Saccharomyces cerevisiae S288C: one gene and its partners. Changing the gene in region 2 together with the main gene of any one other region gives a genetic interaction. Each region holds a gene or a part of one and is shown on either strand. Other genes may lie near its edges. The genes, in order: KEG1, KRE6 and DSN1.

The links.
Region 1: mutations in KRE6 (region 2) and KEG1 are lethal when combined (synthetic lethality), as found in Saccharomyces cerevisiae (one study listed by BioGRID).
Region 3: of KRE6 (region 2) and DSN1, a mutation in one rescues a mutant of the other (synthetic rescue), as found in Saccharomyces cerevisiae (one study listed by BioGRID).

Annotation. Positions count from the first base shown.
Region 1 is NC_001138.5:229,636-239,768, reverse strand, and holds KEG1 (Keg1p), read right to left. Parts: upstream 1,312-10,133; coding exon 709-1,311; downstream 1-708. Other genes in the region: IRC6 (Irc6p), read left to right, coding at 1-655; ERJ5 (Erj5p), read left to right, coding at 1,514-2,401; SAP155 (Sap155p), read right to left, coding at 2,519-5,527; OSW7 (Osw7p), read left to right, coding at 6,225-7,757; IRC5 (putative ATPase), read right to left, coding at 7,828-10,133. UniProt on the Saccharomyces cerevisiae protein: Involved in the biosynthesis of (1->6)-beta-D-glucan polymers of the cell wall. Required for viability. Involved in maintaining chromosome stability.
Region 2 is NC_001148.4:851,691-863,331, forward strand, and holds KRE6 (beta-glucan synthesis-associated protein KRE6), read left to right. Parts: upstream 1-5,892; coding exon 5,893-8,055; downstream 8,056-11,641. Other genes in the region: YPR158C-C (gag protein), read right to left, coding at 3,245-4,567; YPR159C-A (uncharacterized protein), read right to left, coding at 8,624-8,725; GPH1 (glycogen phosphorylase), read left to right, coding at 9,616-11,641. UniProt on the Saccharomyces cerevisiae protein: Involved in the synthesis of (1->6)- and (1->3)-beta-D-glucan polymers of the yeast cell wall in vivo. It is required for full activity of beta-glucan synthase in vitro.
Region 3 is NC_001141.2:368,037-379,677, forward strand, and holds DSN1 (MIND complex subunit DSN1), read left to right. Parts: upstream 1-7,394; coding exon 7,395-9,125; downstream 9,126-11,641. Other genes in the region: actin cytoskeleton-regulatory complex protein PAN1, read right to left, coding at 1-1,872; EGH1 (hydrolase), read left to right, coding at 2,668-4,962; DNA primase subunit PRI1, read right to left, coding at 5,041-6,270; U2 snRNP complex subunit MSL1, read left to right, coding at 6,489-6,824; STS1 (Sts1p), read right to left, coding at 9,251-10,210; SQT1 (Sqt1p), read left to right, coding at 10,450-11,641. UniProt on the Saccharomyces cerevisiae protein: Acts as an essential component of the kinetochore MIND complex, which is required for the spindle checkpoint and kinetochore integrity.

The DNA of each region.
Region 1 (10,133 bases), on a different chromosome or scaffold from region 2:
TTTAAAAACACAATTTTTGCAAGACCTGTTTCATTGCTCTAGCACGGGCATCAGTATAGTTAAGGACCAAACTTGGGAAAATAGATACTATAAAGTCCATTTTGATCTTTATATTGACTCTTGCAAAGAGATACCAGTATGGGTGGAAGAATTTATAACGCCTGAATGTGAACCGCTTAGAAATGTCATGGCAGGAATTATCTTAATAACGGACATCCGGCAAACAAAACCTCAAGAACTGCTGCACCAATTCATGATAGCTGCCCATCGAAATACTTTTGTTGTGTTGGCCAATGTGAACGAAGAAGTCGAGCAAGATGAAATTGATGAACTGAATGAGATATGGAGCAATGCCTTTACAAACGTCATCGAATTCGTAAACTGGAAAAGGTCAAAACCAACTGTTAATCATAACGACTATGGAGAAAAATTGGGGCTTGATAGGATCCAGGAGATTATAGATACCCACGACTGGTTAAATTGTGAAGTTCAACCGGCTACTAAAATAAGGGAGGAAATTCCTAATGAAATGCCCCTCGAACAAATAATTAGGAATTTGCAAAGTGCAAGGCTAAAATATAAGTCTATCGAGAATAGTAGTGAAGCTGATGCTTTTGCAAATGAAATGGCTGACGAACTATCCAGATATTTATGAGTATGTACAGATATGTATATGTGTATACATATGTATTAAACCAATAAGATTGCTCATTTTGTTAATAGTTTTTTGTATGCTGTTAGTAGTACAGGGAAGTATGCTAGTAAAACCACCCTGTTGATTATGTCCAAAGTCGGGGTAGAATGATAGTTCTTAACCTGGATATTTAATAGTAGCAATGCAAATTCACTCAGGTAGAGAATTGGCAATGTAACAAATGTGTTAACCTTCCATACAAGTGTTCTTTCCTTTACGCCCTTACGTTTAAAAAGTTTGCACCAATGGCAATATGCCTGTGATAAAGATAAGGAAATAATGAAACTAGAATATGATGCATTCTTGAGGATCAATGCATGCTCATAATCGTCATAAAAATGGATCACGCTGACTAAATAGATAAAATTTAGGTCTTTCAAAAACGTTCTTGAAAGCAAACCATATTTGAACCCGTGGAATCTAAGCAACCAAATAACTTCCATGATGCTGGAATAAAACATCAAATATATCAAGAATTCGTGGATTCCTCCCGGTAAAAACCGAGACCCTACCAGTGGCATTAATATCAGCCACCGTATCAATAATGCAGCATACAAAAAGCTTGTGGCTAATTGATAATACTGATAAAGCTTATGCGTCAACTTGATACCTGCCATCCTCAATGCTAGTTAAATATATGTGACCGAACAAATACTTTTATTGACGTTGTATTTACATTATTTCCCAATTTGAAGGTAAATCATATTTAATTTCCATATTCAAAATTAATAATCACGAAAAAAATGAGATTTTCAAAATAACACGTACCAAAAGAATAGAAAACGAACAAAAAATCAAGGTTACAAGATCACTAAAAGAATGAACGGTTACTGGAAACCTGCGTTGGTTGTCCTGGGATTGGTATCTCTATCATATGCTTTTACCACCATTGAAACAGAAATTTTCCAATTACAAAATGAAATAAGTACGAAATATGGCCCAGATATGAACTTCTACAAGTTCTTGAAGTTACCTAAACTGCAGAATTCTAGTACAAAGGAGATTACAAAAAACTTAAGAAAGCTATCCAAGAAGTACCATCCGGATAAGAACCCTAAATACCGTAAATTGTATGAAAGGTTAAACCTCGCTACTCAAATTCTTTCAAACAGCTCTAATCGTAAGATTTATGATTATTATCTACAGAATGGCTTTCCAAACTATGATTTCCATAAGGGTGGTTTTTATTTTTCCAGAATGAAGCCTAAGACTTGGTTCCTGCTGGCCTTTATTTGGATAGTCGTTAATATTGGGCAGTATATCATTTCTATTATTCAATATCGTTCTCAAAGATCAAGAATTGAAAACTTCATCAGTCAGTGTAAACAACAGGATGATACCAATGGACTAGGCGTAAAACAACTAACGTTTAAACAACATGAAAAGGATGAGGGTAAAAGTTTGGTTGTAAGGTTTAGCGATGTCTATGTTGTAGAGCCTGATGGAAGTGAAACACTAATTTCGCCAGATACCTTGGATAAACCTTCAGTAAAGAACTGTTTGTTTTGGAGAATACCTGCTTCGGTTTGGAACATGACGTTTGGCAAATCTGTTGGTAGCGCAGGAAAAGAAGAAATAATAACGGATAGTAAAAAGTATGATGGTAACCAAACAAAAAAGGGGAACAAAGTAAAAAAGGGTTCTGCAAAGAAAGGCCAAAAGAAAATGGAATTGCCTAACGGTAAAGTGATCTATTCACGTAAATGATACGTAAGAAGTAATATTATCATGATGAATGAATGAATGAATAGAAAACTACATGGTACTTATACATATAAATTAATATATATATATACAAATTAAAGAAAAGTACAAAACAATGTATCATTCATGATCATAATCATTATCATTATCAGCATCTTCATTATAATTACGAGTATTATCATTGTCATTATCATTATTATCGTTATTATCGTTGTTATTACTATTATTACTATTATGGTTGGTATTGTTAATGTTACTATTACTGTTCTTGTCCTCCGGCGGCCCCAGTATGAAAACCCCATTTTCCGTGTTCTTATTATCAACGTCTTCTTGAGCCCTATTGATTAACATTTCCCTTAACTTGTTGTGTAAATCAGATTCTGTAGATAAGGACAACTGTTCTTCTAGAGACTCAACATTGATTAATTGGCCGCCACCACTTGTTCCATTACTACTCCCGGTATCTGAATCAAGGATTTCATTATTATTACTTGCATCACCATTTGGAGTTAATACAGTAGTATTGTCAGGCAGCTGCGGAATGATGTTACCATTTCCATCATCAATATAACTTCCACCGCCAAGAATTTTAGAGTACATCATTCTTGTTTCGTTTAAGACTTCTTCGGAGTAGTATTGCCATTCTTCGGTTTGTAAAATTACTTGAATATCGGGAGATATTAGTTCCACTTTGTACAATTTAGAAAATTTGACCACTTCTTCGGCAATCAAGACAATATGGCCCATATATCCCAAATTCATTTTCCTTAGCTCATAAAATTTATATGAATCCTGGTAGCCCCTTAATATGAAGTCTGTAGTTATTTTGAAATCAAAATTTGGGTCTCTAATAACGGGAGAAAATCGGGAAACATCCGTTCCTTTTTCATCTGATATGACGATATCAGTCATAAATTGATAGGAGCTCTTTAAGTTAAACAGAGACAAAACAAGGAAGGAATTATAGGAAAAATCCATTCTTCCATTGAAGATTTGCTGAATTATGTCGAATATAACATTATGCCAAAAATTGTTCCAAGGATGTGTTAAGAATAGTTCCATTATTTTGGAAACAATTCGCGTATCATATAGTTTGATTTTGAATAGGTCCCCGACCGTGGGGTCGGTCCTAAGTTTTATGTTTTGCTTCATATTGATGTATGGAATTTCGAAGCTCTCGTCTATTTCGTCGCCATAGTCACTTTCATCATCATTATCATTATTGTCGTTATCTATTTTACCGTTGTTATTTTTTAGGTCGTGATCAGTGTCACGTGTTGGAGAGTGCTTCGTTTTAAGTTGCTCCTTTTCTTCGATACTCAGATCGTTTAATGCATCTTGTAAATGATGGGATAACTGGCTCCTTACTTTATCTCTTCTTCTGGCTATTCTTTCTGCCCTTTTGGAATTCATTAATCCCATATTAGAGCAATGCAGTAACTCGGCGATTAATTCCACCACTTTGAATCTTTCAAATCCTAAAGGTTTAAATTTTTCGTGCAACTGATTTTCATGTAATGGGATGTTGGCGTCATTTTCAATATCTAGAATGATTTGGAAAAAATCGGACAAATGGTTTGAAAATTTCCGAAGTAGATAGCCTAAATATATTGGATCTCTATTTGAAGGTGGATGAGTCTTTATAGTAGTGGTTAAAAGATTAACTTGATCGTAGTCTGAATTGTTTTTCCTTATCAGCTCAATGACAATCGAAACTGTGGTATTTAATGCGGCACCTCTTTGGTTGATCATGATATCGACTAGCTTTGCAATGGATTCGGGAGATGCTAGCTGTCTCGTCAAGGAGTTTGGACCAATGGAAATATCATCCAAGGGTGCATTAGCAGAAATGGCAATCAGAGCCTTTAAGAAATCACCCACGCATGCTTGGATGTCAGCTGGGGACTCTTTGTTATTTAGAAAGCTTAAGCATTTGCTGATCAAGTTTTGATCATATACTAATTCAATTATTCCCGTGGGTGATTCAATCTTATCTGTGGATATTATTTTCAAGAAAAAATCCATCAATAGGGAAATATCAACATGCTTTAACATATCATCAACAAAGCTTCTCTCCGTTCGAATAAAATTTAAATATTGATCCTGCCTGGTTAACAACAGATTTTGGTTAATCTTTAAGAATATGGGTACCAAGGGAGAGTTTTCAGAATTGAAATTTGGCTGGTTGATGATAGACCAAATCTTGTTTAAGTATGATTGGTTTTTAACTAATGACTCGCTAATCAACCATATGTCTAAGGAAAAGATTTCAGATATTATGGTGGCCTTTGTCAAATAAGCAGATTCATCGTCCTCATTCGCATCGTCGTCGTCGTCATTGTTGTTGATATCATCGTTACCAAACGAGGAGCTTCCGCGTTTTCGTCTCTTCTTGTTATTGCTGTTATTATCGTCCTCTTTCTCCTCTTCTTGCTCCGTATCAGATTCCACATAAACGTCCTCTTGTGAGCTATCATCAAGCTGTTGCTGTTCTTGATAATCTATCAGGTTATTCAAATCCACTGTGGTGGCGGTTTTAATCTTCGAGATACATTCCATCAGTTGGTCGACCAGATATTCCATATTATTCACTTTCTTATTAGTTTTCTTATCAAAGAAAAATCCAAAGCAAATGAAGTCAAGTAGCGTCTTGTTTTGTCTCGATAATTCGTTCAGTAGCTCTGTCTCTACAAGCATTCTTTCAATAAAAGAGTTATCCAAATTCTTTGTGGTGACCATCATGGGAGCAGTAGCATTGCTGATATCCTCCTCATCTAAATCAGTTTTAGAAGTTGACCCAGAAGAAAAAGATGTAGTGGAAGATTCGCTAGAGTTCATGCTCCGTTCCTCTTCCTCTTTCTCATACCGTTCTTGCTGATCATCCTTCTCAAATCGACTCTTCTGATCTCCACGTGCCGTTTTCACTTCATCACCATGACTATACTCCTCCGGAATAGAATCTAGGGAGTCACTTGTACCTCGTTCCTGAACGTTGTTGAAAATAGCGGGAATGGCTTTACCAACGCTTGGGTTAATCCTTTCCAGTTCGTGTAGCACATGAAAATATTCATCTAGGATCTTATTAATATTAGAGTGATTAAGATTCTGTCCAAATGGCCAAAACGACATCTTTACTCTGGCTTGTTGTTTTCGTCTTTTTTTTCTTTTCTTTTGTAAAAACTGCTGCTCCAAAAATCAATAGAATGGGAACGGCAGAGACTATAGTCTAGGGAAGTAACGCTTGTGTCTTAATCGTGTTGAAATAAAATCAAAATGAAATAAAATCAAAATAATAAAAAAAGAGGAGGAAAAAAGGGGATAGTCACTCAAACCCACTATCTAGCTTTAGTCTCTCAGTCTTTTAACCGCTACTTGGAGAAAAAATACTGAATCCAATGGTCAAATAAGGCCTTTCTTCTAGTTGCTTTGGAGCGTATGATACCACGATACTGTTGGTTTTGGTTCTAATTGGCCACTTAAAATTATTTTTCTTTCTTTTTTTCTAGAGGAAGGGATAACCCTACTAAGACCTATTCTATAATTACCAGCCCTATAGTTGTCTTTCATTTTTTAGATAAATGCCCTCTTTAAAAATTAAATTAACCCTACTCATTTTGTTGTCATTTCGGCCCTTTTAAGCCACAATACAGGTATCATTTAACAGGAATTACATAATAGTACTTTAGAAGAGACTTGTATGGCATCGAGGCTTCCTTTTTGACTATTGGAAGATAGCATTTTTTTGGGTGTTGCTACTATCATATTTCTGTTACTGATTGACCTTTTCTTAACTAAGAAAAAGGTGGTTAGTTCTTTACTAAAAATCATGAAGGCCGTTTTCAAAGTAACGACTGCTTTGCTGGCTTGCGTGTTTATTGCAAGGTATCTGGTCTGTCAGCAAAATGGTCTGGGAAGCTTTGCCACAGATTTACAGCCCATTTGCCGGCATACTGAATTTTCAGTTGGCTCACTATTCGATTCTAAATTGGTTGAAGGTTCAGCGGTTTCTGACTATTTAGTTGGAAAGTACTCACAATCGATAAAACCACTGATTGAAAGATACCCCAACTCATCCTTGAAGAGAATTATGGGATATTTTTACCGCTTTTGGTACAATATTTTCTCTTTTCTAAGGCTAAATGAGCTCTGCTGTTCGCTACATTCCAAGTTGGGACCTTTATTAAATCATCTAAGGATTGCCTGGTACTATTTAAAGCCATATACAGACAATGTGAAGAATGTACTAGAGAATCCATTTAACTCCTCTACGGATTGGATGAAATACGGCTCCTTTAGCGCTGATGGCACGCTCACCAAACCCATTTTTGAGACAGACTCGGAAACAGAGGATTATGAGGATGATGAGAATGAAAATGAGGATGAGGATGAAGATGAGGATGAGGATGATGTCGGAATTGAGGATGAAAATAAAGAATACGAGTTCGATGGAGTACAGGATGGCCACGGGAACTCACAACTCGTCACTGCTGCTATTTTGCAGGATTTGTCAAAGATTATCATTGGTTCCAATAGCCATGCAGAATTGGAAACTTACGAGGCAGAATCATTAAAAATGGAATATGAAGCATGGATTAAGGCTATAGATTCGAAAATACACAGTGCGATGGCACTTTTGGATTCAGAGATACAGTCTGTGTTCGAGGCCGAGGTGCAAAATAAATCTATAGAAATCACTAGGAATCTTGATGACCTTAACACTACCGTTAATGAGCAATTAGTGTTTCTAGATTCAAAAATCAAAGATATTAATTGTACCTCTAAATTCGATCCTGTGCAAAATAAAATAAAGTATTTTGATGAATCGGGTCAAGTTGAACTGGAAGCTTACATTACCAAATCATCTATCACATCGATACTGAAGAATTATAAAATACATTTGTTAGACTTTGAAAAATCACTGTTTCATTCATTAGATTCTTTTCTTACCGAAATGGCTAAACTGGCAGAATCGATTCGTCTTGAAAACGTCGAAGTGTACGAAGAGTGGGGCGATGTAATGATAAGTCAATGGTCGCAAAGAATGGCATATATGGACGTCAGAGGTCTCCATTTGGAAGATCAATACGATCCTGCCTATATAGAAGAGAATCATTCCAACTGGCTCCGTTTCATGGAATTGAAAAAGAAAGTTATTTCTGAGAGGAACCGTCTGGTAAAACATGATCTGGATATGACTTTGATACTGGAATGGATTACTAAACTAAAAGCTGATTTCCAGAACACAAAAAATAATATTCAAGATACCTTTCTGCAACGAATGAATACTGCGGATACTTTATTCAAAAACCGTGAACTAAAGGAACAACTAGAGGAAGAATTTGTACGGCAAGAACATTGATCAATATATAGGTATGTATATGTACATATATACAAACATTTAATAAAAACAATATTGTATGATAACCAAGTTAAAGACCGGAGGTTGTTTCAAATAGCTTGACGTGCGGCAGATCTACGACTCTGTTGGCCTTGTACGCTTCAAGAGATCTGTTGGTCAATTCTTCAACCTCCTTATCAGTCAGTTGGCCCTCAGTAGCCTTATTTTCTTTCTGTCCCCCATTTTCAAAGCCTATATTGGATTCATCGCTCATTAAAAGCATAGATAACTCCTGGACTAAGTCCTTATTAGTGACATTAACACCCGCTTTGTTTGCCTTCAAAAAAGAACCTTCATTTAACGCCAATTTTTTCAGGTTATTGAATTTTCCCATCTGGATAACCATTCTTTCCAAATTTCGCTTATTGGCCGCTCTGGTCAATATAACATGTTCAATGGTGTTATCACAACACAACCTATATACTATAACCGGTGATTCTTGGCCAATACGGTGACACCTGTCCATGGCTTGTAAATCCACCTGTGGATTCCAATCACTATCAAACAAGACAACTGTATCTGCCCCGACTAGATTAATACCCAGTCCTGCCGCCCTTGTGGACAATAGGAAAATGTTATGCTTATCTTTCGAGCTATTAAACTTCTCGAGTTGATCCTTTCTTGTTTCATTGTTTACTGAACCATCAATTCGAAATGTCGCGAACGAATTTAAATCACACCAATCTTCGATCAAATCGAGCATGTTAACAAACTGAGAATAAATAAGCACTTTGTGCCCCTCAGATATTAATGGGGGGATTAATTTTTGTAAGATTTGTAATTTCCCAGACGTCTTTAAAAGAGTTTCCAAAGTCAAGTCTTCTGGGTGTAAATATGGGAAATAAAACAAAAAAGTTGAGTCAATGATTTGTCTCAATTGCATCATCATATTTTGCAATTTCTTATTTGAAATTTCCATTTGCAGGTTCTTCTTATATAGTTTGTCCATTTGCAACAAGGTTGGATTGATTTTATTGTCTGTATTTGAAGTTTCATTACCAGATAGTTTATAATTGATGAAATCTCGTATGGACCGATTAGAAACGTGGCCGATGTATTCATCGTTCAATGTGAAAAAATCCTTGATTAATTCTTTGAACATGGTTTTTTTCAACTTTCCATTCAATCCAGCCTTATAGAATTTTTCCTGTGCAGACGTCATCGGACAATTTATGATATATTCTCTCTTTGGCGGCAGAATATTAGCCAAAACAACTTTTTTCAATCTTCTCAAAAGGAATGGTTTCAGAATTGTGTGTAAATTGGAAATCAAATTTTTCTGTAGTTCATCGTTGATTAACTTATTCAATGCTTCAGAGTTGGAACCGGAGCCTAAATTTAAGCTGTCGAAGTCAAACCATTTATTGAATATCTCGAAATCGGCAAAGATATCGGGCATTATGAAATTCAAAAGTGACCATAATTCAGCTAGGTTATTTTGTAAAGGCGTCCCTGTTAGTAGCAGTCTATTGGAAGTATTGATTTTTTTTAACTCTTTAATCAATCTACAGTTTATATTTTTCAGACGGTGGCCTTCATCAACAATTAAAAATTTCCAATTTTGACTCATGATTAAGTCGGTATCTCTTAAAATAATTTCATATGATGTGATGACGATCCCCGTGCCGCCGTGTTGTTTAAAGAAATTTTTCAACTTGGCAGAACGTTCCTTATAACCATTGGTCCCATAATATTTTAGAACTGGTAGATCAGGAGCGAATTTTGCAAATTCGTTCATCCAATTATCTAGGGTGCTTAATGGTGCAGTCACTAGAAAAGGACCCTTTGTGTCCATTTCATATATGAACGCCAAAAGAGCAATACTTTGAACAGTCTTACCAAGACCCATTTCATCGGCAAGAATTCCGTTCAGGCCATTTTCATAAAGAGTGATCAGCCAGTTAAGACCTTCTAGTTGGTAAGGTTTTAAAATACAGTTTTTCAATAGGCGAGGTTGCTTTATTGCTGCATCGTCTGGTGCGCCGTTTTGGGTGGTTGTATCTTCGTTCTTTTTCTGTTTTTTGAAGAAATCTGTTATTGATTTTTTTTTTGTTTTACGTTTTTTTGAAGAATGTTCTTCATCATCAGAGTTGCTGTTATCTTTTGTATTAGCGTTAGCCACTTCATTAGATCGATGTAGTAAAGTATCGGCGATTATACTGGAATATACCTGACTCTGCCTCACAAACTCGTTTAGTTTCTTAAGTTTTAAAGAAACCGTCTTGGTATCCATCTCGGAGAGCTCATCATCCAAGGATTTTTGCTCTGATTTCGTGTCTTTTGCCAATTTATCCACCACTTGGGCTTGAACAGCTTCTGTATCGGAATCGTCCTCTG
Region 2 (11,641 bases):
TAGTTCATCCTGGTCTATATAAAGACCTGGTTGACCTGGAGCGCTAAGTTTTCTTCCTTTTGGATTCAAAGGTACGTTTAATTTGGGTATTTTCTCAGTTAATGAGTTTTCCATACCTAATTTCATGTATTTACCTCTTTGATATTTGATTTCTAAGCCAAGTATGTCGTACTGAATTTCGTTATCACTTTCACCCAGATTTATTATCTTTGTATCGTATTGTTTCTTGAGTGTTGTTATGATTTTCTTATTTGCATTTAAGTCTTTGCTGAACAATATCATATCATCAACGAATAAGCAAATTGTTACTTGACTATTCTTAAATACGCATGACCATCCACGAACTTCTTCCATACCACACTGTTTTATCAGGTATGATTTGATAGTTTCGTACCAGTTCGCTCCACTTTGTTTCAATCCATAATGTGATTTCTTCAAACGTATCAACTTATCATTCATTCCTAAATGTGGTGGAGGTCTTATGTATAATTCTTCTTTGATGTCTGCATACAAATATGCCGAAGATATGTCTAATTGTGTAATATAGTAGTTATTGTCTAATGCAAGTGACAGGGATGTCATCAACGCATAATGATGTACAGTGTTGGATTGCATACCTGTATCGTACGTATCAGGATGCTGAATGTCACCTCTTGCAACAAATCTAGCTTTATGAGTTCCGTCACGTTTCTTGTTGAAGATAAACATTGAATTTATTACTCTTTTGGGGTCTATTTCTTTTCTGTCATAATATCTGTCAGTGTCCCAAGTTTTCATCTTCAACAGTTGGTTGACTTCTTTGTGGTATGCTTCGATATATTTTTCTTTTTCTTTAATATCTTTATTATAGGTGATTGCCTCATCGTATCGTAAGGTTGTTCGTATTGGTTTGATTGATTTTACTGCTTTTACAGCTGCAATCAGGTGAATTCGTTTCTTCGATCTCGGAGGTTCTAAACTACGCATATTCTTAGTATTCCATGTGTCTCGTGATACCTTAATTTCAGTTTCATTATCTTCTAATGATCTTTTCTTACTGTTGATAGTAGTATAGGCATTAGAGTCACCAATACCACCCAAACTGGAATTAGTTTGACGAGAATTGATCGGTGGAAGTTCTTTAAAGGAGTCTGATAATTCGGTAGGAGGTTCTGGAGGCGGATCGGGAAGTGGGAGATCAGCGATAATAGATTCCTCGGTATTCTGTTCAGAAACAGTAGTTGGCGTTTTGATAGGAACAATATTGTGCGATGAATTATTTTCCGGTGGAGAAGCATCGATTGAAGGTGAACGGTGTATAATCCTTTTCTCAGTCTCCTGGTCGCTTATCTGCGGAACAGTTTTGTTGTTGGTACCACCCGTACTGGATATTGGTACGTTTGTATGATTAGTCTCATTGTTACTGTACGAGTCTGAGTGTCTGAAATCTTTAGATTTACTGGCGTGCGACGACTCATGTGTGTTAGATTGGGACATGGGAGCAAGTAAAGGAACATTTAATTTATGCATACCACCCGAACCGGTACTCTCGATATTGGAAATTTGGGGGGTGCTAGATCTCTTCTTTGATGGAAGAATATTAGATTCAGATATGTTGGGGTCAACTTCTCTGGGTGCACGAAGATTGATTTCAGATATAGGTTTTGAATCTTCAGTATGAGTTGACGGAGGTGTGGAATCGGTTGGACTCACAGCTTTTGAAAGGACATTTCTCGGTTGCTCAGGATGTAGTTCAATGTCAGATTGGAAGTCATGGTCAGATTCTATGTTAAGATCATTGGATTCTTGGATCTCATTTGACGCAATGAACGAATGATATGAAGCAGTTAAACGGTTTAAGTCTTCATCGAAAGTGAGTGCGTCGTAATTGAATTGATCTAATCTGGATTCCTTGCCCTGAAGAATAACATAGTTAGTTGTATCTACTGTCTTCTTTAAGGATGGAAGATAGATGATATATCCATAAGAGTTTCGAGACGGATGTAGAGCGTAACCTGGGATGCCACGAGGATGTATTTTGGAGTTAGGGTTGTGATCATTGACGATAACAGGTTGACCGAAAGGTAACAAAGTACTGATATCAAGTCCTGCCAAGCCAGCATGTTGGCTTGCAGATTTTTTGCTTTTAGGTGAAGCTAGTGAATTTCTCACAATAGTAGAAAATTCGATTGCAGAGAACCATAAATGGTTCGGTAAACCACTACATTGCAGTTGAGTACGGCAGTCATCTAATAAGGTACGGTTGAGCCGTTCAGCGACTCCATGTGCTCGGGAATCCGCTGTGGTTGTATAGCATGGAGTTATACCATTTTTTTCAAGGAATTTATGGAGAGTTCTGTTAGTATACTCAGAACCACGGTCCATTTGTATAACCAAGACACTGGCCTGAAATTGGTTTTTAATGAAAGCTAGTATCGTGGTAAATACATCGAGGATAGAGTCCTCGCGACGGTCGTGCAATGGATAAACCCAACGGAATTTTGTTGTCTCATCAGTAAATGAGATGAAATAGGATGGTGCACTTTTTGGTAGGTTGTGAACTGGACCAAATATGTCAGTATGTAGGTATTGAAAGGGTTCGTATGAATTTTGGTATTTTAGTCGTGAACCTTTGATATGTCTGTGTTTGGTGCTTTTGCCGATTAAACAATCAGGACATTGATAGTCAATAGCACTAGACCAGTCGACATCTGATTCGTTAAAATACGTGATGGTGTTATTTTTAAGTGAGTATCGAATTGTCTGTGCATTGGCATGCGCAAGCATTCGATGAATGAAAGGATAAGGATATTTGCGTGTACTTTCACTTGTATGGACATTATTGATGGTGGGTACGGAGATATTTGATGGAAGCAAGTACCTTTTAGATACCCAGTAAAAGTCTCCATATTGTACGATAGGTGCAAGTACAGTGCCGTCAGATCGTTCTAAGACGTTTTTGGTAAAGCATGCTGTGATATCTACTGCAGCCAATTCATTCAAACTGAGTAAGTCATAGGCTATGTTAGGAGTGTGCAATACCTTTATTGATGTTTTGGTGTTGTCCTGGAAGTGAAATTGTAGGTCACCAATAGCGTTAATTGGTATATTTCTTTTTTGAGCATCAACTACGTTTATGTCAGGATTAGATGATGCTGAGTGTATGTGATGAGCAGATCTTATAAGGGTTCGTGATGCTCCTGAATCGAGAAGGAGGTGTCCAGGGAGTTCATCATCAGAATGATTAGTGTGATTTACCGTAGATTCAGTAAGTTCCTGGCCTAAGGTGAAGGTCGTGCTTATTGTTCAATTGAATCGGTTCAGTAGTTGATTTACTGATGGAATCGTTGTCCGTGCTGGGAGAGTTATTAGATGTGGATACATTGTGAGCCCTGGCTGTTTTCGATTTCGAATTATTTGTTTTTTGAGGATTCCGAGCTATAACTTTGGGTTTGGTTGTATTCGTATAGCTGCGAGAATCATTCTTCTCATCACTCAGATTTCTCCTGTAATTAGGTTTGCTGTTTCTCGATCCCTGTTGTTCTTCATAAATAGCATGGATATCTAAGAACAGTTCAGCGACTGTCATATTTAGATGTCGATGACGTGTGTAGCGTAAAAATTTATATTCGCCAGATAGACCTCTCATAATTAATTGGCATGCGACCTTGTTATTGATATGAATGCCATTATTGTTCAGTCTGTCGATAATGTTTGTGACTTTTGTTTCAAATGCATCTGCAGGTGTACTGCCATTATATTGCAAATTTGCCAGGGTCACAATGTCGTTTGCCTCTTGGGTATCAGATTGCATTTTTTCAATACTTTTGGAAAGAATTTTCATGATATCCGTATAATCAACGGATAGGATGTCTTTGACCCAGGTAGGTAGGAATTGAGAGGGAGCAAATATTTGAAAAGTGTTATACAAGAAGGTGAGTTCATCATCAGTGATCTGACGTACGGGTTTTCCGTTTACTGTCGGAATAATACCACCGAGATTCGAGTTTTGTAAAAATTTGATGTATGTTTTAACCCAATTTGGAAAGTCATTAGGTGAGGTTAACATTGGTGGTGGTCTGACATATTTTTTAGTGGATGTCATATCAGAGTCTGCTGAGGATGAATCAGTAAATGTATTACCTGACTCAGGTGATGGAGTGCTCAGAGGCGTTCCAACTGATGATGGATACTGCGGAAACTGTGATTGTGGCCCAGGTGGAAAGTACATAGGCGACATTTGATAAGGTGTATACGGAATCATAGATGGGTGTCCGTAAAATGACCAACCAGATGGATTGGCTTGGTTTTGGGTCATCATGCACTGCTGTGGGTACGGCCCATTCTGTGGAGGTGGTACTGAAGCAGGTTGAGGAGAGGCATGATGGGGGTTCTCTGGAACAGCTGATGAAGCAGGTGTTGTTGTCTGTTGAGAGTTAGCCTTAGTAGAAGCCTTCTCACATTCTTCTGTTTTGGAAGCTGAAACGTCTAACGGATCTTGATTTGTGTGGACTTCCTTAGAAGTAACCGAAGCACAGGCGCTACCATGAGAAATGGGTGAATAATTAGATAATTGTTGGGATTCCATTGTTGATAAAGGCTATAATATTAGGTATACAGAATATACTAGAAGTTCTCCTCGAGGATATAGGAATCCTCAAAATGGAATCTATATTTCTACATACTAATATTACGATTATTCCTCATTCCGTTTTATATGTTTATATTCATTGATCCTATTACATTATCAATCCTTGCGTTTCAGCTTCCTCTAACATCGATGACAGCTTCTCATAACTTATGTCATCATCTTAACACCGTATATGATAATATATTGATAATATAACTATTAGTTGATAGACGATAGTGGATTTTTATTCCAACACAAAATGAGATATGTCAGTATGACAATACGTCATCCTGAACGTTCATAAAACACATATGAAACAACCTTATAACAAAACGAACAACATGAGACAAAACCCGTCCTTCCCTAGCTGAACTACCCAAAAGTATAAATGCCTGAACAATTAGTTTAGATCCGAGATTCCGCGCTTCCACCACTTAGTATGATTCATATTTTATATAATATATAAGATAAGTAACATTCCGTGAATTAATCTGATAAACTGTTTTGACAACTGGTTACTTCCCTAAGACTGTTTATATTAGGATTGTCAAGACACTCCGGTATTACTCGAGCCCGTAATACAACAATTTACAACAAGATTCGGGCGTGTGGCGTAGTCGGTAGCGCGCTCCCTTAGCATGGGAGAGGTCTCCGGTTCGATTCCGGACTCGTCCATTTTAATTTTTGATTATGGAATACAAAATGTATATTTCGTATAAAATTATCTTTATTGTTTTTGTGGCTTAGTGATTTTCATTCCCCTCTTTTCTTTTTCCTCTCAGCCTGCAAGTGTGACGCGATCTGAAAGGCGTTTTACCCGCAAAACGCCAAAGAATCATCCTGAAGCGGTAAATTCTAGACTTCAGATCACATACGCTCTATTTGGACAGTTTTTTTTTTTTTTTCATATTCCTGATCAGATGAAAGTTAACGCTATTTTTGGTGAAAACACAGAATAAAACAGCTTCTGATAAAATTTAACTAGGAACGTCGAAAACAACAACCGTTAAAATATTTTTAGCTTACAGAAGCACTTAAGAATCACTAACGTTTTCTTCTTTTTTTATTTTCAGTCCAAAGCTTTCGTATTGCTGCAAGTGCTCGAGAAAGCTGCATATTGTTATTGTATTCGTCCTCTCGTACTAGTGTTCATTACTTTATCGTCTATAAATATATTGTTGTTAGAATTTTTCTACTAAGGCAAGTTAGTAGTTGCACAACATTTCTCTCGTTAAATCATCTAAAGTTTACAGAATAGGTATACCACTCACTCCTTTACTCTAATGCCTTTGAGAAATCTAACTGAAACGCACAACTTTAGTAGCACAAACCTGGACACAGATGGTACAGGCGACGATCATGATGGTGCTCCTCTTTCCTCATCTCCTTCTTTTGGACAACAAAATGACAATAGCACCAACGATAATGCTGGTCTCACAAACCCTTTTATGGGGAGTGACGAAGAATCTAATGCGCGGGATGGAGAATCTCTGTCTTCTTCTGTTCATTATCAGCCACAGGGGAGTGACTCTTCACTACTTCATGACAATTCTCGTCTAGATCTAAGTCAAAATAAAGGTGTATCTGATTACAAAGGTTACTATTCCAGGAACAATAGTAGAGCTGTGAGTACGGCTAATGATAACTCATTTCTTCAGCCACCACATAGAGCTATAGCCTCTTCTCCTTCTTTGAATTCTAATTTATCGAAGAATGATATTCTCTCACCGCCAGAATTTGATAGATATCCCTTAGTGGGTTCCAGAGTCACTTCTATGACTCAACTGAACCATCATGGTCGCTCGCCAACATCATCTCCAGGAAACGAGTCGTCCGCCTCATTCTCTTCTAATCCGTTTTTGGGCGAGCAAGATTTTTCTCCATTTGGTGGGTATCCTGCTTCATCGTTCCCACTTATGATAGATGAAAAGGAAGAAGATGATTATTTACACAATCCTGACCCCGAAGAAGAGGCAAGACTGGATAGAAGGAGGTTCATAGATGACTTCAAGTACATGGATAAAAGGTCTGCTAGTGGGCTAGCTGGTGTATTGCTCTTGTTTCTGGCAGCCATCTTTATTTTTATTGTTTTGCCAGCGTTGACCTTTACCGGTGCTATTGATCACGAAAGCAACACTGAAGAAGTTACATATTTAACTCAATACCAATATCCTCAACTATCCGCCATTAGAACATCTCTGGTTGACCCAGACACACCTGATACAGCGAAGACAAGAGAAGCTATGGATGGCTCTAAGTGGGAATTAGTATTTTCTGATGAGTTTAATGCAGAAGGCAGAACATTTTATGATGGGGATGATCCATACTGGACAGCCCCTGATGTTCACTATGATGCTACTAAGGATTTAGAATGGTACAGTCCAGACGCTTCCACAACTGTGAACGGAACCTTGCAGCTGAGAATGGATGCCTTTAAGAACCATGGCTTATATTACAGATCAGGTATGTTGCAGAGTTGGAATAAGGTTTGTTTCACGCAGGGTGCTCTAGAAATCTCTGCAAATCTACCAAATTATGGCCGTGTTTCAGGTTTGTGGCCCGGTCTTTGGACTATGGGTAATTTAGGGAGGCCCGGTTATTTGGCTAGTACCCAAGGTGTCTGGCCTTATTCTTATGAATCGTGTGATGCTGGTATTACACCCAACCAAAGTTCCCCGGATGGTATTTCTTACTTGCCGGGACAAAAGTTAAGTATTTGTACTTGTGATGGTGAAGATCATCCGAATCAAGGTGTTGGTAGAGGAGCTCCAGAAATTGATGTTTTGGAAGGTGAAACTGATACTAAGATTGGTGTAGGTATAGCCTCTCAATCCTTGCAAATTGCACCTTTTGATATCTGGTACATGCCTGACTATGATTTTATCGAGGTTTACAATTTCACAACAACGACCATGAACACTTATGCTGGCGGTCCATTTCAACAAGCCGTATCTGCTGTCTCAACTTTGAACGTAACTTGGTATGAATTCGGTGAGTACGGTGGCTACTTTCAAAAATATGCCATTGAGTATCTGAACGATGACGACAATGGTTATATCCGTTGGTTTGTTGGTGATACTCCAACTTATACTATTCATGCTAAAGCCTTACATCCTGATGGTAATATTGGTTGGAGAAGAATCAGTAAAGAACCAATGTCGATTATTCTAAATCTGGGTATTTCCAACAATTGGGCTTATATTGATTGGCAGTATATTTTCTTCCCAGTGGTTATGTCGATTGACTATGTTAGAATATACCAACCAAGTAATGCTATATCCGTGACATGCGATCCAAGTGACTATCCAACATATGATTATATTCAATCGCACTTAAATGCATTCCAGAATGCAAACTTAACTACTTGGGAAGATGCTGGTTACACGTTCCCTAAGAATATCCTAACTGGTAAATGTACTAGCTCGAAGTTCAAGTTATCCTCTTAAGCGGGTATTTTGATGGTAAATCTACAAGCCCTCGGCTTTAATTATTACCATGGTCATAAAAAGTTACTTACAATGCATACATTTTTCTTTTAGGAAGAAATAAAATATAAAAGACTTATCGTTCAAATCGGGTCATAAAGGGAACTAAAGGTATACTAAGGTAAGACGGGGTTCTCATCTGCACGTAATTTTTTATTATTTTTAGTGAGGGAGAACTTTACCTCTAAGATTGTTTATATAGGTATACACATTTTTGTAAAACTGATTATTCGTTTTTTTTTTTGAAACAAGTTATTAGTACAAAAATCAAGCTCTCACTACTTACCAGTAGTTATTTTAGTAGAATATTATTAACTCTACCGAATAAGTACGATATGAGAAATTGCTGATTTACTTGTGTGTGTTCCTATTATTATCCAGGAGCGCCTCTAATCTATGCTTATAATTTTACGTTGAAAAAAAAGGAGTCTGTATAATTATTTCAAATTCATCCTTTTCTCACGGATATTGTGTACCCTATGAGGTAAATAATTGCGCTTTATTTTCTCCCTGTGTTTGCTCGCTCATCTTAAGACGAAAAAAGTAATGGAACACCTACCATCAATAGAAGTACCACACTCATGTAAATAACAAGCGCAAGTGGTTTAGTGGTAAAATCCAACGTTGCCATCGTTGGGCCCCCGGTTCGATTCCGGGCTTGCGCAGATTTTATTTTTTGCTCCCTTCTAAAGCTCTGGATGATTCACCAACTTATCCAAGGCAAGGTCCAACTACCGTTTCCTTCGATGAAAAAGACAATAGGTAGCTCTGTCAAACCCCGTGGAAACGCAAACTCATCGGGAGTGTCCTACTGCTTTCCACTAGTTATCCGACTAGCAAGGCAACTAGTCAAGATGAAACCGTCTCACGAACATTTGTATACGATCTCTTCTCCTGATAGACAATGAAATATACCCCGGTGCTTGTTTCCCACTAAGGAAAAAAGGCCGCTGCCCCACAGCGGGAAGGCCCTTCAAGGGGTAGCGGCATCGCCTAGTAGCACTGTGGGGGGAAGAATACAACGCTCAACGGAAGAGGAAGCTCTGCGAGATGCAGCCAGCACCTTCTATGTTTCAAGGATAACATTTTGAATTAACAAGGAACGCCTTCCCCAATTACCGTTATTGTATTTTTACTTTTTAGAGACTCTCGAGGAAATAAGTAAGGGGTGGATAATTTTCGCTAAAAAAGTTTCAGGGGAGGTTAATAACTACCATGTGCATGCTACAAAGATAAGGAAGGAACACCGACGAATATATTATATGTATAAAAGGAGCATGAAGTTTGTATAGCAGTAAAGCAAGATTCTTTGTGCCTTCCCGTTTCTTGTTGTACCTTTTGTTTTGATTACGTACGAAGTATTATAAGTTTTTTCTGCTTGCTATTGTAATATAAAGTAAGCACAGATTGAGAAGGTAACGATTACTAAAAATATCCAAAAGAAAAACAATTGGATCTTTTTTGACTTCTCTACATTACAATTTCAGTAAAGCAGCTTTCAACTTAATTTAATTTTGAACAATGCCGCCAGCTAGTACTAGTACTACCAATGATATGATAACCGAAGAACCTACTTCTCCACACCAAATCCCAAGGCTTACAAGGAGACTTACGGGGTTTCTTCCCCAAGAAATCAAGTCAATTGACACGATGATTCCTTTAAAGTCAAGAGCGTTATGGAATAAGCATCAAGTCAAAAAATTTAACAAGGCAGAAGATTTTCAAGATAGATTCATTGACCATGTGGAAACTACATTAGCACGTTCCCTATATAATTGTGATGACATGGCTGCTTATGAAGCTGCTTCGATGAGTATTCGTGACAATTTGGTCATTGACTGGAACAAAACTCAGCAGAAATTCACCACAAGAGACCCAAAGAGAGTTTACTATTTGTCTTTGGAGTTTTTGATGGGTAGGGCTTTGGATAATGCCCTGATTAATATGAAGATTGAAGATCCGGAAGACCCTGCTGCCTCAAAGGGAAAACCAAGAGAAATGATTAAAGGGGCTTTGGATGATTTAGGTTTCAAGTTAGAGGATGTCTTGGACCAAGAACCGGACGCAGGTTTAGGTAATGGTGGTCTAGGTCGTCTTGCAGCTTGCTTCGTCGACTCAATGGCAACGGAAGGCATCCCTGCCTGGGGTTATGGTCTACGTTATGAGTATGGTATCTTTGCTCAAAAGATTATTGACGGTTACCAGGTGGAAACTCCAGATTACTGGTTAAATTCTGGTAATCCATGGGAAATTGAACGTAACGAAGTGCAAATTCCTGTCACCTTTTATGGTTATGTTGATAGACCAGAAGGCGGTAAAACTACACTGAGTGCGTCACAATGGATCGGTGGGGAAAGAGTTCTTGCTGTCGCGTATGATTTCCCAGTTCCGGGTTTCAAGACTTCCAATGTAAATAACTTAAGACTATGGCAAGCAAGGCCAACAACAGAATTTGATTTTGCAAAATTCAATAATGGTGACTATAAAAACTCTGTGGCTCAGCAACAACGCGCAGAGTCTATAACCGCTGTGTTGTATCCAAACGATAACTTTGCTCAAGGTAAGGAGTTGAGGTTGAAACAGCAGTACTTCTGGTGTGCTGCATCCTTACACGACATCTTAAGAAGATTCAAAAAATCCAAGAGGCCATGGACTGAATTTCCTGACCAAGTGGCTATTCAGTTGAATGATACTCATCCAACTTTAGCCATCGTTGAATTACAGAGAGTTTTGGTCGATCTAGAAAAACTAGATTGGCACGAGGCTTGGGACATCGTGACCAAGACTTTTGCTTATACTAACCACACTGTTATGCAAGAGGCCCTGGAAAAATGGCCCGTCGGCCTCTTTGGCCATTTGCTACCCAGACATTTGGAAATTATATATGATATCAACTGGTTCTTCTTGCAAGATGTGGCCAAAAAATTCCCCAAGGATGTTGATCTTTTGTCTCGTATATCCATCATCGAAGAAAACTCTCCAGAAAGACAGATCAGAATGGCCTTTTTGGCTATTGTTGGTTCACACAAGGTTAATGGTGTTGCTGAATTGCACTCTGAATTAATCAAAACGACCATATTTAAAGATTTTGTCAAGTTCTATGGTCCATCAAAGTTTGTCAATGTCACTAACGGTATCACACCAAGGAGATGGTTGAAGCAAGCTAACCCTTCATTGGCTAAACTGATCAGTGAAACCCTTAACGATCCAACAGAGGAGTATTTGTTGGACATGGCCAAACTGACCCAGTTGGGAAAATATGTTGAAGATAAGGAGTTTTTGAAAAAATGGAACCAAGTCAAGCTTAATAATAAGATCAGATTAGTAGATTTAATCAAAAAGGAAAATGATGGAGTAGACATCATTAACAGAGAGTATTTGGACGACACCTTGTTTGATATGCAAGTTAAACGTATTCATGAATATAAGCGTCAACAGCTAAACGTCTTTGGTATTATATACCGTTACCTGGCAATGAAGAATATGCTGAAGAACGGTGCTTCGATCGAAGAAGTTGCCAAGAAATATCCACGCAAGGTTTCAATCT
Region 3 (11,641 bases), on a different chromosome or scaffold from region 2:
AGCAGTGGGGGAATCTAACAAACCTTTGTTTTGAGTATCAAAAGTTTCAAAAATTTTATAAAACAAAGATTTTTCCTCCGTGGAAATTTTGTCTTGACTTGAGTTATCAATTAAGTTATTATTAAAGTTGGATTTGGTATAAATTTCGTTATTACCAAATCCTGTCTTTTGGGCAGTCAACGGCATGGTAGCACTAAAGTTAGATGGTGGTAGAAAACCCGTTGGTTGGGGTTGCAACCCGGTTAACTGAGATTGTAATCCTTGTTGATTAAAGGACAAATTGGGCATACTTGCAGGACCGCTTTGCTGGGGCATAACGGAACCATATCCTCCGGTATACTGAGATTGCAAAGCACCGCCGGTCAACTGAGGTCCTAAATTAACGCCAAATGAAGTCTGTGGCATCATACCAGTTGTCTGTGGCATCATACCAGTTGTCTGTGGCATCATACCAGTTGTCTGAGGTTGCAAAGCATTGCCAGTAATGTTGGGTTGCATAGAGGCAGGTGCTCCTCCAGTAATTTGGGGGTTCAATCCGGGAGTTCCGGTATTCATTGACATGTTGAAAGTGGTTGGTGCCATAAATCCTGTGGATTGAGGATTCAACGCCGAGGCAACACCGCCTCCAGTAATTTGAGACTGTAATGGGATACCAAAACTAGTTTGAGGCATATATCCTGTTGGTTGAGGTTGCAAATTTTGTACGCCCGCTGTAATGAATTCATCAAAGGGAGTTTTTGGGGCATCGTTTGCGGAAGAATCCTGGTTTGCAATGCTTAAATTAATGGCGTCAATAAAACTTGAAACTTCGTTTTTTGTCTTAGAATCCAATTCGTAAGGGATAGTGTCACCTTGTAAGACATCATTGATCAAATGCATTGCTAATGCAAATTCAGGAAACAGTAACTCACCTGCTTTTGATGTATCACAAAGCGTCCAAATTCTTGCGAGTTGAGAAGGTGGCAAACCGGATCTCATCAAAATTTTCCTACAATTAGCACCGGAAACAGTATTCGAACCATTGGTAACAATTGATCTGAATAGAGTCTCAAATTTTGCCTGATCTTGGGCAGTAATAAACGACAATCTAATGGCAGGGATTTTGATATCATTGTTTAGACCGTTGTTGGCAAATGAGTTGACAAAGCCAGTTGCGGTGGGCTTTAATGGTTCTAAGGGAGCTTGGTTTTGCGGTTGAAGGTAAAATCCTGTTTGCTGCGGCTTCAAAGGTTGCAAGGACTGTGCTTGCTGAGGAGGTGGCACCTGTTGAGGTTGAGATTGATAATAACCAGTGCCCTGGGCCTGAAGGGGCTGCTGGGTTTGATTAGAAGAGATCAAATTGGGTGTAGACACATAATATCCTGTCCCTTGAGATTGCAAAGGTTGTACTGAGTGTACATTTGCAGTATTAGCAGCTTGGTAATAGCCTGTTCCTTGGGGTTGTATGGATTGTAGCTGAGGCTGTTGAGCCGGATTAGGTGGAGGCATGGTGCCAGTAGTATTCATCATAGGCATACTGGAATTTGGTACGTATCCCGTATGCTGCGGTTTCGCCTGCTGTTGTTGCTGCTGGGGTTGTTGGCCAAAATTACCATTACCATATACACTACCATTATTTCCATTATTATTGTAACCCGTTTGGGGCTGCTGTGGCATACTTGAGAAAGAATTACCAAAACTTTGAGGCATCCCACCAATTCCGGTAGCCTGAGGCTGGTTAAACGCCATTTGCTGTTGTGGTTGAGGCTGGCCTTGGGGCTGGTTTGAAGACTGACCTTGCTGCTGCTGCGGGTAGAATCCATTTGGTTGTTGCTGCTGTTGCTGCTGTTGCTGCTGGTAACCCATGCCCTGTTGCTGGTACGGGTTATACATATTCAGTTGTACAGATTAGCAATTTCGCGTCGCTGATAGATTCTTCCTCTTCCTGCTTCTCGACGTGTGTTTCGCCAATAGATCTATATGGCTTTCTAATGCTTTTTTTCTTCCAATACCAACTTTTGCCCCTAACAAGAAAAAAATATCGTCGACGTGTCATGTGATCAAGCCAATTTATAATAACAAGCGATTGATAAACAGAGTATACATAGCTACTATGCGACTGAGAGATCAATCGGTTATCGTGAGCACCTACCTTTAAGGTTTAACAGATCTGGACGTGATTTTTTTTTTTTTTTTTTGACGAACCAGATTGTCAAATAAACATTGTTAATTGATGAATTTTTAATATCTGCCCAATTGAAGCATAAAAAGCGTCTTAGGAAAGCATTCGTTAAATATCTCTACTGTTGGTAAGCAGGTACTTCAGTAAAAAACCATATTAAACCCAAAATTATCAAATTAGTAGTACATAAGATCGAAGTAGAAAAAATATAGATTATAATCCGATATAGTGTAACGGCTATCACATCACGCTTTCACCGTGGAGACCGGGGTTCGACTCCCCGTATCGGAGTATGTTTATTTTATTTTTTTCATATCCGCTCGAATATTGCCTTCGTTTAAGGTTTCTATATCTCTGGTAAACCTTAACAATGGAATTAATATTAATTCTATATTTCGCAATAATTCTACTGACAGTTATTTTCTTAACCTTTCTTCTCTTTTTTTATTTATTTATTTCTTTTTCTTTCGTACCTAAATTGTTTGAATTTAATAAGAACAGATCATATGCCTGCCAAAATACACATTTCTGCAGACGGTCAGTTTTGCGATAAAGATGGCAACGAGATCCAATTGCGTGGTGTCAATTTGGATCCGTCAGTTAAAATCCCTGCAAAGCCATTCCTATCCACCCACGCTCCCATAGAAAATGACACGTTTTTCGAGGATGCTGATAAAGTCAGTTTCATCAATCACCCCTTAGTTCTTGATGATATCGAACAGCATATCATCAGATTGAAATCACTGGGTTACAATACCATTCGTTTACCCTTCACCTGGGAATCTCTTGAACATGCTGGTCCAGGACAGTACGATTTTGACTATATGGATTATATCGTCGAGGTACTAACCAGGATTAACAGCGTACAACAAGGTATGTACATTTATTTGGACCCTCACCAAGACGTCTGGTCTAGGTTTAGCGGTGGATCTGGAGCACCGCTATGGACCTTATACTGTGCAGGGTTTCAACCTGCAAACTTCCTGGCCACCGATGCTGCAATCTTACATAATTATTATATTGACCCCAAAACGGGCAGGGAAGTTGGCAAAGATGAAGAGTCCTACCCTAAGATGGTTTGGCCTACAAACTACTTCAAACTGGCGTGTCAAACAATGTTTACGTTATTCTTTGGTGGGAAACAATATGCTCCTAAGTGCACAATTAATGGAGAAAACATACAGGATTACTTGCAAGGAAGGTTTAATGATGCAATCATGACACTGTGCGCAAGAATTAAAGAAAAGGCTCCTGAGTTGTTTGAGAGCAACTGCATTATTGGATTAGAGTCTATGAACGAGCCAAACTGTGGTTACATTGGTGAAACAAATCTCGATGTGATTCCGAAAGAGAGAAATTTGAAATTGGGCAAAACGCCAACGGCATTTCAAAGCTTTATGCTGGGTGAAGGTATTGAGTGCACAATAGATCAATATAAAAGGACATTTTTTGGATTTTCTAAGGGAAAACCGTGCACAATCAATCCCAAAGGCAAAAAAGCTTGGCTGAGTGCAGAGGAAAGAGATGCGATAGATGCGAAGTATAATTGGGAAAGGAACCCTGAATGGAAACCAGACACTTGCATTTGGAAACTCCATGGTGTTTGGGAGATTCAGAATGGTAAACGCCCTGTTTTACTCAAACCAAATTACTTTAGCCAACCTGATGCAACGGTATTTATAAACAATCATTTTGTTGACTATTACACTGGAATTTATAACAAGTTTAGGGAATTCGATCAAGAATTGTTTATTATAATCCAACCGCCGGTAATGAAGCCACCACCCAATTTACAAAATTCTAAAATATTGGACAATAGGACGATTTGTGCATGTCATTTTTATGATGGTATGACACTAATGTATAAGACATGGAATAAACGAATTGGCATAGACACCTATGGACTAGTAAACAAAAAATACTCAAATCCTGCCTTTGCTGTAGTGCTTGGCGAAAACAATATACGGAAATGCATTAGGAAGCAATTATCAGAAATGCAAAAGGACGCTAAATCCATGCTTGGAAAAAAAGTACCTGTATTCTTCACCGAAATTGGTATTCCATTTGACATGGACGACAAGAAAGCATATATTACAAATGACTATTCTTCACAGACCGCTGCATTGGATGCTCTTGGATTTGCATTAGAAGGAAGTAATCTTTCGTACACCTTATGGTGTTATTGCAGTATTAATTCACATATATGGGGTGACAATTGGAACAATGAAGATTTTTCGATTTGGTCCCCGGATGACAAACCACTCTATCACGATACCCGAGCAAAAACTCCTACTCCTGAGCCATCTCCAGCCTCTACTGTGGCTTCGGTATCCACTTCTACATCTAAATCGGGTTCTTCACAACCACCAAGTTTCATAAAACCAGATAATCATTTAGATTTGGATAGTCCCTCGTGCACTTTAAAGAGCGACTTGTCAGGGTTCAGAGCTCTTGATGCTATAATGAGACCATTCCCCATACAAATTCACGGAAGATTTGAGTTTGCTGAGTTTAACTTATGTAATAAATCCTACCTTTTGAAATTAGTTGGTAAAACGACACCTGAACAGATAACTGTCCCTACATATATTTTTATACCACGGCACCATTTTACACCAAGCCGGTTGTCAATTCGTTCATCATCAGGTCATTATACCTATAACACTGACTACCAGGTTCTTGAATGGTTTCACGAGCCTGGCCATCAGTTCATTGAAATTTGCGCAAAATCGAAGTCAAGGCCCAACACCCCTGGAAGTGACACTTCGAATGACTTACCAGCGGAATGCGTTATCAGCTAAACAAAAATTGAACCAAAAGCTATAGTAGTCATATATATATATATACACCCTTTTTATTGTTACAAAAAGATTTCACCATCAGAAATCTAAAGAAGCCGGTTCATCATCATCTTCACGTTCTCTTTTCACTGAACCCAGTTCATTTTTCAAAAGAGAACTCACATATGCTTGGAACTGATTGATAAAAGGTTGTAAAGCTGTTAATGAAACATCATTATTTTTCTCCATTTCTGTTTGAAGATCAATTAGCTTAGGTGCTTTTTCAGGTGCAAAGGATTCATCAATAGGCACACAGACATTCCCCGTAGCAGGATGAATACAAAAAGGGGCCTTTAACAAATGAATTGTTTGCTTTGTAACTTCCACATCCAGCTTCGGATAAAGAGTCATCAATACGAGATCTTCCTTACATTCACGTAACTTAATTATGTGAGAGTCTTGCTTGGGGCCTTTGAAGAGCGATGTAGCTATCTGATCTATATCATTCCACTTCTCTTTGCTTGACCTCCTTGGATTGTCCAGCCAATACTTCTTTAATGAATCAATCAATTGTTTATCATATAATGCAGGCAATAAAGTTTGGATAGCATGTTGGTCATCTTCCCAAGGATTTTGCTCTTCGAGCATAATGCTGACAAAGAAAGGTTTCAATTGCTCCAAAGAACGAGCAAGATGAGGGTGATAAGGCCTCTTCAAAGCCAATCGCTTGTCAGTATTTCTGTCTCTAATCACGTTGACATAATCTAAAACGTTTCTTCGTTGTACATCCGTCAAAGCCCGTGCCCGTTTGTCGCTTACCCAACAATGAGCACCACGTCTACCTGAAAATACCCAGATGAAGTCCTTATAACCAAAATCCTCTCTTAGGGCCGTGTTCGTAATTTTCATTGCCAAAGATATAAATTTCCAGCACTTAGAGCAAACTTGGGCTCCGGAGCAACACGTTCTGAAGGCATCGTAATCATCCATATCAATATCAAACACCAACTCCTTCTCTAAAGCTTTCAATTCGCTTTTTAATAGAGTATCACGTTCTCTTGGCGGTTTGTTATATATGGCACCGATTTCAAATCTGTCTGGGTTGGCTTTTTCTATTTGTGCTTTGAAATCTTGCACAGAGTTAAAAGAATTATACCTTTTGTAAGCACCTGACCTGAACGCCATAGCGAATTCTCTGTTAATCATATCCCTAGAAGGTTTGGGCGAATGATTCAGCCAGTTGAAAATGTGTTTGAATGGATAGAGCGACTTATAGTAGTACTCCATGTCTGAGGAGCTTGGCCCATTAGTCTTTACTGAATTGGTCATGATGTTTATAAAACAGTTTTTTGAGTTGCTAAAACTAATTTTTGCTAGTATTATGGCACGCTTTTCTCTTCAGCTTCAAAGTATTTTTGATTAATTTTTTATCTTTTTGGCGTTATGAAACTTTTCAACTGAAAGAAAACAATAGGTAAAAGTGGCAAAGGGCACTGACCGAGCAACTGTTTCGAAACTCACGCATCATTCACACGTAGGATATAGTAATGGTTGAACCAGCAAGGAAAAAGCAGAGGATTGATCGCGATACTCATCACACTGTGGCTGAACCAGTAACGGAAGCTAAAAATACGCTGTACGTGAGCCAGCTTAATGAAAAAATTAATATGCAACGACTGCGAGTAAACCTTTTTTTGCTCTTTGCTACGTTTGGAGAGGTACTGAAGGTTAGCATGAATTTCAAGAAACAGCGGGGCCAAGCCTTTATCACCATGAGAACCATCGACCAGGCCAGTCTGGCCCAGATTTCATTAAACGGCGAGCGATTCTTTGGTAAGCCTTTGAAAGTTGAGTTCAGCAAGAGTGAAACTAAAACACTATGACTGGCTTAACGCTCTATTCATAGCAGCACGTATATACCGAGAAGAGCTGCCATAGGGGCACATCAAAGTCAAGAGCGCAGAACCAAACCAAAATGTTTATATCCAAACAACCCGGCGTTATAGATGGTCGTCAACGGACAAATAATATCAAGGCATGTATCAATATGGAGTAGATATAGAATCTACAAAAATCTGTAGCAGAAAGAGTCTCCCGAAAAGACATACTGCAGAACGGCCGCTTATTCCTCACTTCAATTGCTTAAATAATACAAAGGGCAAACCACAGAGTACCCCATTGCCAAAAGACGTTTATTACATTTTGGAAGTGATAATTTAGTATATAAGACAGCTTACTATATGATGAATTACAGTGTAGTTCAGCGTTTATATGTGGCTTCGTTTAAAATGATATATATTTCTAGTAAAAGCAAAAATTCACAAATGATAAACAAATCAAAATAAACATCAAAAGAACCGCCAATTGATAAAAGCACAAAGTACCAGGCAGAGTTGTGAAACCGGGCCTCTTCTATTGTACCACACACAAATTTTTCTTTATTTAGGTAGAGGATGAGTCTGGAACCCACACAAACGGTCTCCGGTACGCCGCCGATGCTGCATCAAAGAACACACAAACAAGTATACCCATTGCGGATGGAAACTATCCCAATATTGGAATCCGACTCCAAGGCTACTCTACAAAGCAACGAGCCCACCCAGAAAGATGAGGAGGAGACCGAATATTTTGAGAATAAACAATCCGTGTCGAATTTGAGCCCCGATTTGAAATTCAAACGACACAAGAATAAACATATCCAGGGGTTCCCTACTCTGGGCGAAAGGCTGGATAACCTGCAAGATATAAAAAAGGCCAAGAGAGTGGAGAATTTCAATTCTTCTGCGCCAATTGCTGACGACAATCATAGTGGAGATGCGACTGCAAATGCGACTGCAAATGCGACTGCAAATGCGACTGCGAATGTTAATGCAAGTGCAATGCCCGCTCCATATATGCCTTATTACTATTACTACCATCCGATGAATGCACCAACTCCTGCAATGATACCATATCCTGGATCACCAATGCATTCGATTATGCCCAACTCCTCATTACAGCCCTTTTATTCGCAACCCACTGCTGCAGGCGGTCCCGATATGACTACTCCCCAAAATATATCTTCATCACAACAATTGCTGCCAGCTCCGCAATTGTTTCCGTACGGATCATTCCATCAACAACAACTTCAGCAACCACACTACATTCAACGAACAAGGGAAAGGAAAAAATCAATCGGAAGTCAGAGAGGTAGAAGATTGTCTATGTTAGCATCTCAAGCTAATGGGGGAAGCACTATTATATCTCCGCACAAGGATATTCCTGAAGAGGATTTTTACACCGTGGTTGGAAATGCGTCTTTTGGTAAAAATTTACAAATACGACAGCTTTTCAACTGGTGTTTAATGAGATCTCTGCATAAATTGGAGTTGAAGGCTAAAAACCAAGAGGAAGAAGGGGAACTTGAACATCTGACCAAAAAATCCAAGCTCGAATCAACAAAGGCAGAAACTGATTATGTGGATCCCAAACGTCTGGCTATGGTGATAATAAAAGAGTTTGTCGATGATCTTAAAAAAGATCATATTGCGATAGATTGGGAAGATGAGGAAAAATATGAGGATGAAGATGAGGAGAAGATTCTGGATAATACTGAAAACTACGATGACACGGAACTGCGACAACTGTTTCAGGAAAACGACGACGACGACGACGACGACGATGAGGTGGACTACTCGGAAATACAGAGGTCTAGACGTAAATTTAGTGAAAGGAGAAAAGCCCTACCGAAAGAACCAAAAAAACTATTACCTAATAGCAAAAACGTGGAAAACACAAAGAATCTTAGCATTTTAACGAGCAAGGTGAACGCGATCAAAAATGAAGTGAAAGAATGGGCAGTCACTTTAGACACTTCGAGACCAGATCTTGAATGGCAAGAATTGACTTCATTCTCATCACAACCACTGGAACCGTTGTCGGATACAGAAGAGCCAGACCTTGCGATTGCAGATGTTGAGACAAAGTTAGAAACAAAAGTCGATGAGCTAAGGTACCAGTCGCATATATTAAACTCGCACTCACTAGCCTTAAACGAAATAACAAATTCAAAAGTGAATAAATTGAACATAGAAACAATGAGAAAGATCTCAAGCGAAACGGACGATGACCACTCACAAGTGATTAATCCTCAACAGCTGTTGAAGGGATTAAGTTTATCTTTCAGTAAAAAACTGGATTTATGAAATAAAAGAAAAAATCAAAAAAAAATCGGATACTTCTGCATATGTAACATTACACAGTCATACATTTATATATACATATATATACATATTAATGTATTTGAAAAAGCAAAAGAACCATTCTATCCTTAGTTAAAGGGCGAATCAGTAGCAGCGCTACCACTATTGTTATTGTTTTCGTTTGCTGTCATGGTATCGTGGTGGTAAATAATACTTTCTTGAAGTGATAATGTTGATGACGATGCTGCTGAAGGGCTACCCATATCTAAAGATTTGAACAGCTGGAGTGGGCGTTCCAATAACCCATTTGAATGTTCATTGTATACCTGTAATCTTGTCATATGACTTTTCCAGACGGAGCTATTATCTGCTAATAAAATTATCCTGTCACGGGCAACATGTTCAATAAGCGTACACCATACGTGAGACAATTGTTCAATGCATTTATCGTAGTAGTAATTATTACTAGCTAATTCAAATCTGGGCAATTTGATAACTAATTCCGTGCAAATGTCTAAGAATTTTAATGATGCGTGCAAATTTTCCAAACGTGGTGGAATGTTATCCAGTATGAAATCCACCAAACAGTTTAAGAACTCCAGAATTTGAGGTTTCATTCTCACGAAAGCATAGTCATCTAATTTATTACTCTCATAAGACCTATTGTAAGGTATGCTCTGGTAAACGGCTTCTGATTTTTGTTTCAACATGTCCAGACACTTTTGTATACTGAAGTCTAATCCGATGACTCTCGTATGTACGCTTTGTTGTATTTCTGGATGTTTTGTCATCAAATCCACCAACAACTGCTGTAATTGGTTCTTGTTCATTAGTTCCATGCCTCGTTGCAAGGGCAGAGGCTGCCCTCTGATGAGCGATCCTGGCTGAGGCCTCCTCTTGGAGACGCCCCCATATTTCATCACATTCTTGTTACGAGGTAGTTCTTCCTCTTCTTGCTCCTCGTTGGCATACCGCCTTTTTTGTTTCACTCCAGCAGTTGGAATCATTACATTGCCTGTGCCTTGTGAACTGACTGTACTCTGTGTTATTTTACTGCTGGGTTTAAAACCCCATTCAAACCCCATCATAATGCTATACTGTCCTGTGTTTGTTGCTTTTGCCAGGTACCTTCGAACACACTAAGTGAGAATACTTGGTTAAGTATATTTTTAAGTAAGAAATTCCCACTCGCCGCATTATCACCCGCCCGCCGTTTCTTTTTCTGGCAAAATTTTCACTATGAATAACTAAAGAGATACATTCGATGGGCTTTAGATGAGGCCTTTTGAAGACCAAAACAGCACCAAATAGCGACACATTAAGCGTAATGGAACCTCAAGAAGAGTTTATAACTACCGAAGAAGTTGAGCAGGAGATTGTGCCCACTGTGGAGGTCGAACAAGACGTTCCCGTTGATATTGAAGGAGAGAATGACGACGATGATGAAATGATGAATGATGATGAGGAAGCTTTGGAGGTCGACATGTCCAACAACTCGCTTACCTATTTCGATAAGCACACAGACTCCGTGTTTGCCATTGGCCATCATCCTAACCTGCCGCTAGTATGTACCGGTGGGGGTGATAACTTGGCACATCTTTGGACATCACATTCACAGCCACCCAAGTTTGCTGGCACTCTAACCGGTTATGGCGAATCTGTGATTTCATGTTCTTTCACTTCTGAAGGGGGCTTCTTGGTCACTGCCGATATGTCGGGGAAGGTTCTTGTACACATGGGTCAAAAAGGTGGCGCTCAGTGGAAGTTGGCATCGCAAATGCAAGAAGTCGAAGAGATTGTTTGGCTGAAAACTCATCCCACTATAGCAAGGACGTTTGCGTTTGGTGCAACTGATGGATCTGTTTGGTGCTACCAGATTAATGAGCAGGATGGTTCTTTGGAACAGTTAATGTCTGGTTTTGTACACCAGCAAGATTGCTCTATGGGTGAATTCATTAACACCGACAAGGGTGAAAATACGCTGGAATTAGTCACTTGTTCTTTGGATAGCACTATTGTGGCATGGAATTGCTTCACTGGCCAACAATTATTTAAGATCACACAGGCAGAAATCAAGGGATTAGAAGCTCCATGGATTTCCCTATCATTAGCTCCGGAAACTTTGACCAAGGGTAACTCGGGTGTCGTGGCATGTGGGTCCAACAATGGTCTTCTGGCAGTAATTAATTGTAACAATGGCGGTGCGATTTTACATTTATCTACAGTGATTGAACTAAAGCCAGAACAAGACGAATTAGATGCCTCCATTGAATCCATTTCTTGGTCATCCAAATTCTCCCTTATGGCCATTGGCCTTGTCTGCGGTGAAATACTCTTATATGATACAAGTGCATGGAGAGTAAGACACAAGTTTGTTCTCGAAGATTCTGTTACAAAACTTATGTTTGATAATGATGACTTATTCGCATCGTGTATCAATGGTAAGGTTTACCAGTTTAATGCAAGAACTGGCCAAGAGAAGTTTGTTTGTGTGGGCCATAATATGGGGGTTCTTGATT